Linked DNA regions of Astyanax mexicanus. The main gene of each other region encodes a partner of the protein of the gene in region 2 in a complex. Links are inferred from orthologs where the notes say so. Each region holds a gene or a part of one and is shown on either strand. Other genes may lie near its edges.

Region 1 (7,900 bases), on a different chromosome or scaffold from region 2:
ATTATACAATGTAGGTAGGGCTGGTTAAGCCCACATACTTATTTTCTTTAAGTAGGAATGGGCAGCAGTGCCTGCTTAGCAAGAAATTATAAGGTCTATCCTTAACTGGCACACACTAATGAGATGATTAAATAGAGAGTAATTAGGAGATACGTGTTGTTATCTTTAAAATAAACCATTTTAATAATCTGTTAGCTATACAGAAGCTAATTATATTTTTCAGTGCCAATACAGGATCAAATTTATTTCCAGTATGGTCTTTGAATAAGTAGAACAGACAGGATAACAAATGTTCTTAAAACAAAACATTGTTTTGTCAAGATCAGAACTTTTTTGTACGTTTAAATCAGAAGAACATTTCAAACAGGGTAATTGAGATTGTAGATCTTTACATATAGACCATGCAAGAGAGTATCTCAGTAGATTGGCTCGCGTTTCTGTTAAGAAACCTGTAAAAACCCATATAGAATAGTGATTCACATATTTTAGTTTTCTTTAACTAAGAATATAAGGTTAGGTCTGTAATCTGCTTAATATAAAAGCTGCATGTAAGGTTAAAAGGAGCTGCTCGCTATAATGATGATGATGATAATAATAATAATAATAATAATAAAACTGCCTTATCAGTTGTTATGCAGCATTTAATTTTTTTTTAAATAATTATATTACAGTATTGCCTAGCTCTACTTCAAATACATTATTAAACCTATAAAAATGAGAAAATATTCAGCATCCAGAAATAGAAAAATGTATACCACAATTGCCAGTCTGTACACTTACGTCTGCAAAAGAAATCTTTATTAACTACTAGTGCACCTGAAAAAAAATATTTTATAAATAATAATTTTCATTTATTGTTGATGATTATGGCTTAGATGCAAAGAAAATCTAAAAAATACTAGTGTCTCAGAAAATGAATTATGAAAAAGAAGCACAAAGTGCTGTAAGAGTTTCCAGAAAAACACTGGTCTGACTTTGGATTTGGAATAACACAGAGGACCAACACCTGCAAATGACATGTCTCTCCAAACCATCACTGATTGAAGAAACTTCACACTAGACCTCAAGCAGCTTGAACTGTGTTCCTCTCCACTCTACCTTCAGACTCTGCTCCCTTGATTTCCAAATGAAATGCAAAATGTATAGATGATCAGTGATGGTTTGGAGAGACATATCATCTGCTGGTGTTGGTCCAATGTGTTTTATCAAGTCCATAGTCAGTGCAGTGTTTTCCCAGAAAATATTACAGCACTTCATGCTTCTCTCTGCTGACAATTTTTATATTCTAATTTTCTGAGACACTGATTTTTGGGTTTCATTGGCTGCAAGCCATAATCATTAACAATAAAATAAATAAATGTTTAAAATAGATCACTCTGTGTGTAATACAACTATATCATATGAGTTTCATATTTTAACTGAATTACTGAAATAAAGTAACTTGAAACGAAATTAAATTTTTTGAGATGCACTAGTAGTTAACCAAGATTTCATTGACAAAGTTGGCTCGTAGTAAGTGTACAGACTGACAATTTCTGGATGCTGAATATTTGCACTCTACAGCCTGGTGACAACAGCTGATAAAAGTAGCCACCCAGTTCTACCACAGTCTCTCTCTCTACCCAACTGCCTCACTGAGTTTAACTTCTAAACCTTATCTCTATTAAATACGCACTGTTTCTAAACACTAGCATAAATCATCACCGCCCATAACAGTGTTTTAAACACCGAGCTGAGCTGGTTGTGAGGCGGTGTTTTGGTGTTTCAGCTGCTCCTCTGTGTGTTGTGTTGTGTTAAGTCGTTTTGTGTTACGTAGAGTCAGCAAGTCGGGGTTCATTATACAGCTCTGGAAAAATAAGAGACTCTTAAAAATTGAGTTTCTTTGATTTTACCAAATTGAAAACATCTGGAATATAATCAAGAGGAAGATAGATTATCATAAGCCATTAAAACAAGCTGAACTGCTTCAATATTTGCACCAGGAGTGGCATAAAGTTATCCAAAAGCAGTGTGCAGGGCTGGTGAAGGAGAACATGCCAGGATGCATGAAAACTGTAAGTAAAAACCAGGGTTATTCCACCAAATATTGATTTTTGAACTCTTAAAACTTTTTGTATATATAAACTTATTTTCTTTGCATTATTTGAAGTTTGAAAGCTCTGCATCTGCATGTTTCAGCCATTTCTCATTTTCTGCAAATAAATCCTCCAAATAAGAATGCTAACATTAACATAGAATTTGGGAGAAATGTTGTTCGTAGTTTATAGAATAAAACAACAATGTGCATTTTACTCAAACATATAAATAGCAAAATCAGATAAACTGGTTCAGAAACTGATGCGGTCTCTTATTTATGTTCAGAGCTGTATGTTATATCGTAGCCTTGGCTACTGCTGAGCTGGTTAGCACTGCTGTGGCTAGGCTAACCCGCTGCCCGCGGTATCAGACAGAGAGCTGAAGTGATGAAAAGTGTCTCAGAGGAGTGAGAGAGGGACACAGCTCACCTTTTTAACTTTCTTCACTTCATCCTCCATTTCTACAGCAGCTCTTCATCTTCTCTCTAATCGCGCAGAGGAGGGTCACGGGTTCAGCGCCCGGCGGCCGCAGTCCGCGAGCAGCGGCGGTGTACCGCGGAGAGTCCCCCCGGCGGAGAGCGGGCTCGGGGCGACCACCCGCCGCTCACATCCCCTCTCCAGCACAGCCACGGAAACAGCAGCCCGCCCGGTACCGACCACCACCGCTCCCGGGGTCGGAAAGACAGCGGATGAAGCACAGAGGGACTGAAAACTACAACAAAAACACCACCAAACTTTTCAATCCTGCCGCCATTTTGGGCGTAGAGCGCCTACCCAGTGTGCTTTGCAGGGAGAGACCGGAGTTTGATGGCTGTACAGAGCTGAGCACAGCTCCACTGATCCCCTTTAACCAAGTTACTGAAAACACAACACACAAACCTCTAAACTACCAACTGTTATTACCATTTATCACACAACTGTGATTTAAGCGCTGGAACGTGTTATAAACTTTAATGAAGTCATATTCTGACTCTTGTCTTTATCACAGCACTGAGCATTTGGCCCTCAACACTGAGTCTACTGATAAAATTAAAGTTTATTTTTAATACTTTTGACTGTTTGTTTAAGACTCAACAGAAATCTCAATGTTAAGTTTACTGCATAATTTAAACACAAACTGTCTCTTATTCTGTGTATAAATTTCTAAATAAATGGACCAATAGAATTTTTCCTAAATGACCTGAAATAAACTCTTTTAACACTGCCCACTAAACAAAGAGACGTTGAAACGACGTCTTTTCTAGGTCATTTTTGCACGTCCAATTTTGGTCTCCTGAAGGTGCAGACTGTGACGCCAGACGACGTCTTTTTTCTGACGTCTTCTGCACGTCCAGTATTGACGTCCCCCAGACCTCCGGATAAGGGCTAATTCTAGTTTAAATTAAGTCGTTGTGGACGTCTTTTCTACGTGAAATTTACATGTATACGTTTTATAGACCAACTACTTTGAGGCTCCCTGCATAACTGTAGTGCCATTTCAGACGGTGGCAACTGTTCCATTGTTCCAGCTTCAGCAGTTAACTGGAAACGCATACAAAGCTAAGCCAAACAATTACTGGAACAGGTTCACAACCTTCTGGAACTAGTTATGCACGTTAGTTATACACAATATGCTTTACAAATAAATTGCATTTCAACCCTCTCACTTTTTTCAAAACATGTCAACCTGCAAAGAACCAGTAAAAGCAAGGGATAAATTAATTACCCCCATCTTACCACTGTTGATTTTAAATTGACCCTTTCTGTTTGGGGAAACATTAATATAATAATAAACATAATGAGTAAATCTCATTTGGGGTTAATGCCTTTATTTTACATCAACATAACATACACCTTAGATTCACACCATAACAATTTCACTAAACATTTACCTTCCCTTAAAACTATTACAGCTTTACATTACACCTTCCCTTAACAATATTATACCTTCCCTTAACACTATTACACATTTAACATTACACCTTCCCTCAACACTATTACACCTTCCCTTAACAATATTATACCTTCCCTCAAAACTATTACACCTTTACATTACACCAGAGTCTCAAAGTACCGGCCCACGCGGTTTCATACGGCCCCTCACGGGTTAACAAAATAAACATACATCTGGCCCGCAATTCAATTTAATTATTTATGCTTTATTATGTTCGTTTTCATATTTTATCTTAACTTGTATTTTGGTGTGTGTGTGTGGTTTTTGTTTTTTTTTTTGCTTACGCTGCGTTGCCTGCTTTAGTAGTCTTCAGTAGCCTTCAACAGTCTAACCTTGCTGCCGTGGTGTGTCCACTAAACTCCGTAGTTATAAACATCCTGAGGTTAGCAGCGCGCTAACTGACCTGTTTATAATGTAATCCGAGCAGTGCCTCCGTGACGCTGCTCTAAACTGCTGCTGTTAGCTGCTTGGGCTGAAAGATGAACTGTAGAGAGCTGTATTATCCGGTTAGTGGGGTTATTTTATTTCATACACAGAAGAACTTAAAAAATTTCAAAACGCTCCAGACAGGCTCAGCTGAGTCCTGTAGCCCGTGGCTGGGCTGTAGCTCTGACTAAGCAAAGACTGCGGGCTTGTGGTGCTGCAGCTGCAGCTCCGACTAGTGGTTGGATGAGGAACTGCTAAATCTGAGGAAATGCTAAATCTGTCACAGCTCACAATTTTTGATTTTATATTTATTAAGCCTTATTTCAGTATCAAACGTTTTGATCAAAGTTAATATAACTTGTACTTGATGTAATTTCTATTCACTTGAATAGTTTGGTTCTTGATTGATGGAGTTTTTGGATTTCATAACATGACAAATTAAAAGGATTTATGTTAATAGAGCAACAAGCAAACATTTTTCCATGCAACTGTAATATTTGATTGAATAAATAGTATATTGAGAGTTATTTAACATTAAGGAGTAATTACATTCATTTTATATTACATCTGGTTACATTTTCTTATATTTATAAGTTACATCTGGCCCTCAGAGGACAGCCAATATGTCAATGTGGCCCTCGTCAAAAATGAGTTTGAGACCCCTGCATTACACCTTCCCTTAACAATATTATACCTTCCCTTAACACTATTAACTTACACCTTTAACATTACCCCTTCCCTCAACACTATTACACCTTCCCTCAACACTATCACACCTTTAACATTACACCTTCCCTCAACACTATCACACCTTTCCACTACACCTTCCCTTAACACCATTACAACTTTACATTACACCTTTCCATTACACCTTCCCTTAACATCATTATACTTTCATTAAGATTCTAGGTCCTGAGAGACAGCGGTGTGTCCTCCACGTCTTTGTGGTGCATGTTTGAGATGCTCCGAAGTATTAAGTCCTCGGTGGCTGTCCCGTCACATTTCATGACTCCATCTGCACAAGTAGAAAAAGACAAATTAGAAATCTCAGAAAATGTTGAAGATGGCCATTTATTTTTGTCCCACAACAAACTATTTTAAATTGCCTTATTTATGTAATATTCACATAAACTTACTTCTTCATGCTATGGCTTAGCTAACGCTAAGCTAACGATAAGCTAACGCTAAGCTAAAGGCGGGAATACACATTTAACACCTGACGAGAATTATCGTGCCGTTTTAATTCTCACACATCATATTAAGCTATTTTAATATTTTTTTTCCCACAACAAACTATTTTAAATTGCCTTATTTATGTAATATTAACATAAACTTACTTCTTCATGCTATGGCTTAGCTAACGCTAAGCTAACGCTAAGCTAACTGGTTAAGCTGACTGGTTGAAATCAACTTAACAATTTTCCACATAAATTGCATTTCCAAATAAAAATAAAAACATACGTAAATAAATACCTACATTCGTTAATTAATTAAATAGATAAAAATATAATACTCAAATAAATAATTAGAAATAAATGATGCTTAATCATAAATAATCTATATTCATAGTGATTAACAATATTGATAACAACAATTTTGACATACATTTAAAAATAAATATATTCTTAAATAATGTTAATTTCCTGCACCTGTATAAGACGTCCCCATGACGTCCAAAAAAGTGACCTAGTCCGACGTTCAAATGTTTAACTGCATATTGACGTCCAAGTGGGGTCATAGTTAGACGTCCAAATAGCGGACCTAGTTTGCACGTCGTGTAGACGTACAGAATTGGTCTTGGACCGACCGACGCAATATAGACATGATCTGCACGTCCATAAGACGTCTAATGTTTAGTGGGTGACTTCTATTGAAAGTTTTATTTCTCTCCTGTAAAGCTCCGGTTTTGGATATACATGATTTTCAATTGTTCCCATTTTAATCAAATTTTATTTTCACTTTTCCTGTCACAGTTTTAGGTAAAAATTGGCATTTGATGAAAACGTGGTTGATCTAGAGCTGCAAACATTTTAAATGGTTCATGTTGACCATGTTCTGTTCTTATCAAAAATCTATTTTAATTCACTAGTAATTTTCTATCATTTGAATTACCGTGGTATTTTACCAAAACTGGGGGACAGTTCAGGCTTTACCTCACCTAAATGAAAAATAAACACCTTGAAAATAAAACAGTATGAATGCTTTGATATCACTTATGTCAGTGATTATTAGGGGAGGTTATTCCAAGATGACAGGGAATTCTCGAACATAAATAGCTTCATATTGGAATACAAAAATAGCTAAACATATAACTGAATAGTGGAAATAAATAATATAATAAATAAAAAGACTAAAATAACAATAATTACAATCTTTTTCCACACAGGACCATGTAGGTTTGCATTTTTTCTCCCTTGATAATAAAAACAGCACTTGTGTTGTATTTGACTAATATTTAAAATTGTTGGATGATCTGAAACATTTAAGAGTGATAAACACGTAAAAAAATCTGAAATCATAAAAGGGGGCAAACACTTTTTCACACCACTGTTTGTGATACATGATAAATTGTTCCAGACAGCAACCTCAGCAACCTACCAACATATAAAATCAAGCACTCATGCAGTCGGCATTTACAGACATTAGTGAAAGAATGGGAGGCCACCATTGCAAAAATCAGAGTTGAGCCTTACAACACTATTACAGCAAATAAACAACAGGGGGCGTGCTTGTTTGGCGTCCTGCTTCACAGGACATACTTGTGTCTGGAACAAGCTGTAGATGTGGAACACCAAAAACTAACTGATGAAAAAAGGGATTAGAAAAATATCTTAATTTAGACCTGACACATGTAAACACTAGTAAAGCATTTAGACAGTGGAGGGACCTCTGAACTATTAATGCTCAAGAGGTGGGAAACTTTGCCTTATGTTTGCTGTTGTTTTCTTCCTTTTTGTGAGTGTTGATGACAGTCATAACTGGTTTTGTTAGCAGCAGCAATTGTGAGATACCCCTCGCTGCAGAACCACAAGTCCAGGGGGTGGGGCTGGATCTGATCCAAGGGGTGGAGCCTGACCTCCTGACCACCCATATCTTCTTTTCATTGGTTTTAAGTCATCGCATTTCAATTCGTCGTTAAACTTAAAACGTGTCGCTTACGTTTCCCGACCAGGACTTTTATCTTATCAAATAAATCCTGGAAAATGTTATTTGCTACGTAGCACATTTAAATCACACAATACAGATTTAAAAGAAGGAACATGTCTGTGATTACAAACATAATAAAATGCTGTACATTTCCTATATAAATATTAACTATTTCATTTTTTATCTTTAATAAAAATGGCCTAAAGACAAAATAAAAAATAAATAATTAAAATAAAGGATGCCAATGAGTGTCTTATCTACCAGCTACCATGTTCATTTATAATTACAGATATTAATACACAATCAAAATGGCGAACAA
Region 2 (7,186 bases):
ACTTATTTGTGGTTACAATGCCTGTAAAGCATTGTAGTGAACGATTTGTTCACTCAGAGGACAATAAAAGACGCTTTTTCTCACCTGAACGAACAGTGCAGTGTTCCCTTCTCTTCTTTTTGCCTCGAGCTTCACAAAATAATATATCAAGAAATGGAAACTGGCTTAGTTCAGCAATGCTGTCCCCAGAAATCCTGTCTCTTTGCTCCTGGATTGGAAAAAGCAATCATGCCATCGCTAAACCGCTGCCCGGGCCCCGGGCCTCTGGGGGCAGCCCCTTCGGCCTGCGGCCTCCAGCACCACCACAGAGAGAGATTCAGTCCAGAAAGAGCGAGCAAGGGTGGACAGTGGTGGCGTTTCCTACAGGTCTGCTGTCAGTTCATGATCTTATAGTGAAGGAAGCTTCTCCACATAGCACTTTTCTGAAGCATGGAAGCCGCCGTCTTCTTCGCATCGTAGCTGTGCACAAACTGACAACAAAGAAAACACATGATTATTACAAGACGTTTGTTATTACATAACTTGTCTAGTTTCATTTTTTAGAATTTGGTCCATTATAAGCCCAAACAAATTATGTTGAATGTACACCAGCGTTAGAAGTGTGTGATATGATACGGCAATAATATACAAAAAATATTGCAATATTTACATGAATAAATTACATTTTTACAATACACAATATAGATCACAATATTATGACAAGCAGACAAAGGGTATTTTCAGAGACTGTTCAGGTCCAAATTAAAATAGCAGGATAAGAGAATACAATCCCTTAGAGGATTCAAAATGCCAGGGCAAATAAATGATGAATAATTCTGACTGTCTCCCTATTGATGTACAGAGGAAACAAACTCTCTTCTGTAAACACTTAATTAACTGACAAGTAGTAGTGTGCCATATTATATTATATGCAATAATATCGGCAACATTTTTTAATATTGTGGACGATATTATACCCTAAAATATCGTGCCATATCATCCACGCCTAATTATCACATCAAAGTACTACATTTTTGCTGCTTTTAGCAAAAGAAAAATTCACACTGTTCTCATGTCCAATTATATATCTACTAGAGACAGATTACATCTGTCCAATATCATTTATTTTACTTTAATGCTGAATATATGGAGTGCATTATTAGTGACCTGACATTCTGGATTATTGACTTCTTTTTTTTTTTTTTAAATTGTGTTTTTTTTATATCTCAGTTAGGGGTGTGCCATATCATATCGTATACAATAACAGAATGTAATTAGTAGTGTACTGTTGATTTGTTTTTTTTTTTTGTTTGTTTGTTTTAGACTTCCCAAGTCTCCCGGAGGGTGCGTGAGTCTACATATATCAATAACAGCTCCCTGATGCCCGCAAATCAGATAAAATCTCCCGGAATCTAGAACAAGTGGCCCAAGAGTGAACACAAACGTGCACACAGGCGACACCGACTTTTTGTACCCAAATAAAAAAGAGGGAGAGGAAGAGAAAGGCGCTCCCTGTGTGCATATTCATGAAGCGTATGCAAAACAGAGAGGGTTTTGATTGGCCTGTTCTCTACAAAGAGTCAGCTGTAAATGACAATATTTTTATTTGGAATTGGGAGAAATGTTGTCTGTAAGTTTATAGAATAAAAAAAACAATGCTCATTTTATTTTAACATATACCTTTAAATTGCAAAATCAGAAACTGATTATTTTAAAGTGATCTAATTTTTTTTCCAATATACCTCCCTGAAATTAATTTTTGCAAATTGGGATGTCTGTTTTAATTTAGTGTTTTGTCATATTGCAAAGAGTATCCTTATCATGAAAATACCATGAAATGTTGTGATATATATTTAGGGCTATATCACTCTCCTTTACTAACAAGTAACCCAAGCATCTCTTTTTAAAGGGACTGTGACTAATGGGGGACACAGTCTTTACTAGAGCAGACTGGTTGTGTTTAAAAATTACATTAGTAGCTTAACTGTTACCGAACAATAATAACTAGAGAACTAACTACATACAGTAGCTTACCTCACATGTAGGTTCAGGACTGCTGCTGAGTCTTTCCAGCGTTTAGACCGTGTTCTTCAGAAAGCTGCTGTGGATATTAGATGGCATTCCCCGTGTAATAAACCGGTTTTAGATGTGAACTGTGTCGTATACTCCGGAATAGAAAGCAAAAAGAGCAGATTTGGTGCAGAAATCCATTTAAACTGTGGCTGAACAGTTAACCTAGCTGAGCTGGAGCTGAGTTAGAGAGGAGGGGGGCGATTTCCGCGAGTCTGATGGCTTCTTTTCCTGCTAAGTTTGCAGATTTTTTTCTGCACGTCTGAAAGAGTCAGTTCGCCCGAGCATAAGTTTTTTTTTATCGTTGTTTTCTTTTTCAGGTAAAAAGAGAGAGAACTAATTCTGTGTTTACACTTGCACCGAAAAAACGGGGTATAAACCGTTCCTGAAAAAAAACTAACGGCACTGTTAAGTTAGTTCGCTAGCTTAGTTAGGTTTACGGATTATGAGCTTTAAAAAAGATAAAATATGCTCATACACAAGTGCAGAAACCGCTTAAATGTTTACTAAACTAATACACGCTAACACTTCACCCAAAGATACGATATTATCGACCTAATATAGTGAGAGAAAAAAAGATAACACGTTAAGGATAGTAACGAAGCTCGATGGTCAAATCCGTTTTCCGTTGCTGTGTTTGTGTCTTCACACGACAGAACAGTGTAAAATAAGTGTTTCTCAGTCCAAAAATCCGAATATTTCATCATAAAATGAACGACTGAAGCTGCAGACACATCTCAACATCACGAGTTTATCAAAAAACCGCAAAGTCTGGAGTGAATCTTTTCTAACGCTGCGAGTTTCCTGACATGAAAAAAATCCAAATCGACACCAGAACCCAAAAACCTTTGATTCCTTCAAAACGACTGAAAAAGTTGTAAAAATAGAACTTATATCCAGCAGGAAATTCTACAGCAGTGTTTAAAAAATCCCCCTGTTTTTAAAAAATAGAAACCGCTTACTGTCCACTAACTTCCATCCATTTCATGCAGCTAAGCGAACACCACTGTCGCAGGGAGATTCGAGTCCTTAGGACAGACGAATCGGTTCTTTCGAACCATCGAGCCGATTCACGAGTCCGAACAGAATTGTGTGTTGTTAGGATATACCTTTTTTGTACTTTCTGGATCTGAAGAGACTGTATTTATAATTAATATATTTACCTATATACGCTTTTATGCAATAATTGGCATAGACTGAGGGCTGATCCAATGTTAGATAACGTAATGTAATAAATTTAATAAAATATAATTCTCACAAATGATTCTCACAAACTTTATTTTTTTGGGCTTAAGGAGCACCTAAGCAGGATTTTGCTCAAACATTGCTGAAAAAACATTTATTATAAACACAAATGCACAGTGGAGTCTATAAGGGGGGATAAATAGAGGTAGTTAACTTGAATCAATGAATCGACGTATCGACACTTGAATCGACCCCACTGTAAAATACTGTTAGGAAGAATCGGTTTGCCAAACTGAATCACGGCGTTAATACACTGTATGCGATTCTGTAATTGAACAGTGAGCAGGCGCAGAGAGCACAAGCTCGTGAAGAATTTATTTATGTGTTTATTAGTTTTTTTTGTTTCTTTATTTACCATAACAATAAAATTAAGAATTAAAATTCGAATATAATAACTAATGCAAATAAATAAAGCCCAAAAAGATAAATTCTGTTCCCCTCTGTCCTGAATCTTCTTGTTCTGGTAGGATCATGTATTTGTATAGTTTGCAATTAAATAATTAAATAAGACTGAATACTAGAAAGCACACATTTGCAGAGGCAAAAACTAAAACAAAAACAAAACAATTTGCATAACAATGGGGTGTGGTAACACTATGATTATTAATACTAAACATGGCATTGAATGGATACTTTAGACCAGTGTTTTTGAACCCTGATGATTTTATGATTTTGTAGCATTTAACAATCATTAACATCATTACATTTAAACCTGTATTTAAAACTGTGTGTGTTGGTTTACTGATGGGTTTGTATAGTAAATAAAATGCCTAAATTTGTATTCTAATCAGGGTGGCCACTATTTTCATTATTTTCATCACTACTGTAAAGAAACCTTAATATACACTCAACTGGCTATAACTAATGCACACCATACCCACTGTTTACACTTAAGGGCTGAAAAATTAAAAACCTATTTCTTGGGGAAAAGTTGGAATTCCCCTAACAGAGATCAGCTGAGAGAGATTTAGCTTTATCTGGACTCTCAGTATTGTAAATGAAAAGCGCCACGCCAGCGCCACTCACTGGCCAAACATGATTAACACATGTACAGATAAGTCTATCTGACCTATTGCCTCCTGGGGCCACAACTTAAAGTGACAGTTCGTATTATTTTGTTTCTACACTGAGAGCAGAAGCATTTCTGAACGGAGAAGGGACAAAATACTATGTTTAATGGTACCAGTGGGCTGGAATGACCATCCCTGCTAAGCCTAATATATTTATTCTAAAAGCTGGGATCTCGGGTCGCTTTTCGCAGGAGTCCTTCTGGTCACGCCAAGCGTCTTTACGTACTTACGTCACACATACAGCCTCTGAAAGAGGATCCGACTCTGTTTTACTGTATGTTCACACTACAGCAATGCCTCCCACTGTTCTCTATGAAGAGCGGCAGCAGCAGCAAAAATTTACTTTTTTAAGATATTTAGATAAAAGTATGACAGCGTAGACCAGGGGTGTCCAAACTACGGCCCACGGGCCATTTGCGGCCCGTTTCCTTTTTTGGAGCGGTATTTTAGAAATAGAATGAAAGTTGGCCCGCTGTTAAGTAGGTTTTTATAATGTGAGATTCAAAGTTTGAATGCTAGGTATCAGAAACGGGCCAAAGAGTCTAAATGCGAAGAGAGTGTTCAGTTGTAGCGCAGAAAACGGGCCAAAGAGTCTAAAAGCGGAGAGAGTGCTCAGTTGTAGCGCAAGAAAACGGGCCAAAGAGTCTAAAAGCGGAGAGAGTGCTCAGTTGTAGCGCAAGAAAACGGGCCAAAGAGTCTAAAAGCGGAGAGAGTGCTCAGTTGTAGCGCAGAAAAAGGGATAAAGAGTCTAAAAGCGGAGAAAGTGTGCAGTTATTGCGCAGAACCACGGGCAAAAGAGTCTAAAAGTTGCCGTAATTAAGGAGTTTAATATTAAGAGACATCATGAAATGAAACATCAAATCGTCGCTGCAGTGTGAACGTACCGTTACTAAATGCAGATTTCAGTAGGGGAAACTCAGACCCCAGTAGCTCATTTACTCAGCAAAAACAAAGAAGAATCCGTGCTAAAACCAGGATTAATATTGGCTGGCGTTATAATTATAATTGGACTGGCGTTTTAACGGTGGAGAGAGCTCAGTGACCTGAAAGGGTTTAAAAGGCAAAAGCTATTTCAGTTATTTGGCTTTTATTACTAGCTTCTAAAACGCTGTGGATTTTATTGCCTGTAACATTGTGTAGCTTTGTAGCTGGAGTATACGCTTAGCCGCGGGCTAGACAGGCTGTATACTCTCTCTCACATACACATACACAGTGAGTCTAACTCGCCCCCTATTGGCTACAGACCTTACCATAATTCTAAACGTACAAAATAAAGAACATTAACATTTGCCCTCAACTAATTATTGATTGCTCTTTCAATGATGTGTGTGTGTATGTAATATATGTATATATATATGTATATAAATGTGTATATATATATATATATATATATATATATATATATATATATATATATATATATATATATATATATATATATATATATATATATATATATATATATATATATATATATATATATCTTTTTTTTGTGTTCTAGCTAACTGTTTATTGGATGTAATTGCGCTCTACACTGTGCCATTATTTCACCTAAAATGTATAAAATATGCTTTATAACTTGGAAATATTGTTTCACACTGCAATTTATTAAGGGGTATGAATTGCAAGCCAATAATTATTGTTACAGGCCTAAAAACAATGGTATATATTTTTCATCTGTTTTAAAAGAATTGAAACACACAAGACCAAATGAACACCAGTAACTTCTTTATTTCTTTTCTCCAAAAGCGTGTACAAAAAATGAAAATTAAAAAAAGGGAAGAAAGGAAACACAAAAGACTGGAAGGGTGGGGAGGGTAAAGGTGTGGATTTGAAGGGAGTAAGGAAAAGACATCACATTTTGGTTGTCTGGGATCTCTGGGTTTAACAGAGTGCTGTGGAGGAAGGGGCTGAAAGACTCCAGAGTGGGAATGAAAGATTCAAAGTAAAAGCGCCACCTTAAAAAGCCAAAAACATCCTGCTGTTTTAAGGCCACCAGATTCACTCCACTGATCAAGTTTCGACAGAGAATAATCCACTTGGTTTAAACACGCATCTCTCTCTCAGCTCACTCAACCCATGCTGACGGTCTACTACTTTACAAAATAAGAGTTTTATTCAAATCTGTCCTACCTTAAACAATCCAATCTTACAGCTACTGAACATCCACATATACACACACACTTTACGATTACGTTCAGGCAGAGACAGGACATTTGTACGCTTTCCCCCCCCCCATTTTTGATGATTATTAAAATGAAAAGACTCACACACACAATCTTTAGACAGGATATGGTGTAGGTTTGTACCTTGGCCCACATATCTGAGGAGCATTGATGTAAACACAGTGATTTGTGCCAGTGAGGAACAAACTAACAAAAAAATAAAAATTTAACATGGGAAAAAAATGCAGACTTTAAATTTACAGAGAAAAAAAACAAAGTAATCTGAACAGTCCAGGAAGTAGACAATAGTTCTGGGCTCAAATACAAACCCAAACTGTACAAATTCTCCTTTCTCTAAGAACCTGAAATGGATGTGTGTTTTATTAACAATAATAAGAATAATAATGTTTTTATTCTACGGCTTGGTAAGAAAATATTGTTCTGGCTCATGTTAAGAGCGTATGATTATTCGAAACCTCACAGCGCATTCAATTTCACAGTAATCTCCAACATTTAGAACAACAGGAAGGGCTTCTGTGGTAATCAGGTTACAAATGATGACATTTGTTCCATCTCTCATGCTTTCTTAATGGACTCAGAAAGTGAATAGTAAATAAAGTGAAAAGTAAATAAAGTAAATAATTTGGCCCAAAAAAA

Evidence for each region.
Region 1: the proteins of map3k3 (region 2) and ccm2 are in contact, whole or in part, in a crystal structure (PDB 4Y5O), measured with the Homo sapiens proteins. The link is inferred for Astyanax mexicanus from reciprocal best matches to the Homo sapiens genes MAP3K3 and CCM2. Residues at the interface, in NP_002392.2 of Homo sapiens: Asp2, Glu3, Gln4, Ala6, Leu7, Ser9, Ile10, Met11, Asn12, Asp13, Leu14, Val15, Ala16, Leu17, Glu50, Asp82, His84, Met86, Asn88, Glu89, Leu90, Ser91, Ile92, Leu93, Arg117, Leu119, Leu121, Ser122, Gln123, Asp124; in NP_113631.1 of Homo sapiens: Leu299, Tyr302, Met303, Leu306, Arg307, Ser312, Gln313, Ile315, Gln316, Gln317, Phe318, Ala319, Ala320, Leu321, Leu322, His323, Glu324, Arg326, Glu333, Ile336, Asn337, Gln340, Leu341, Leu353, Phe356, Pro358.

The regions. Positions count from the first base shown.
Region 1 is NC_064408.1:71,268,014-71,275,913, reverse strand, and holds the start of ccm2 (cerebral cavernous malformations protein 2 homolog), read right to left. Parts: upstream 3,004-7,900; 5' UTR 2,535-3,003; coding exon 2,505-2,534; intron 1-2,504. UniProt on the Homo sapiens protein: Component of the CCM signaling pathway which is a crucial regulator of heart and vessel formation and integrity. May act through the stabilization of endothelial cell junctions. May function as a scaffold protein for MAP2K3-MAP3K3 signaling.
Region 2 is NC_064426.1:21,052,446-21,059,631, reverse strand, and holds the start of map3k3 (mitogen-activated protein kinase kinase kinase 3), read right to left. Parts: upstream 3,094-7,186; 5' UTR 2,014-3,093; intron 471-2,013; 5' UTR 85-470; intron 1-84. UniProt on the Homo sapiens protein: Component of a protein kinase signal transduction cascade. Mediates activation of the NF-kappa-B, AP1 and DDIT3 transcriptional regulators.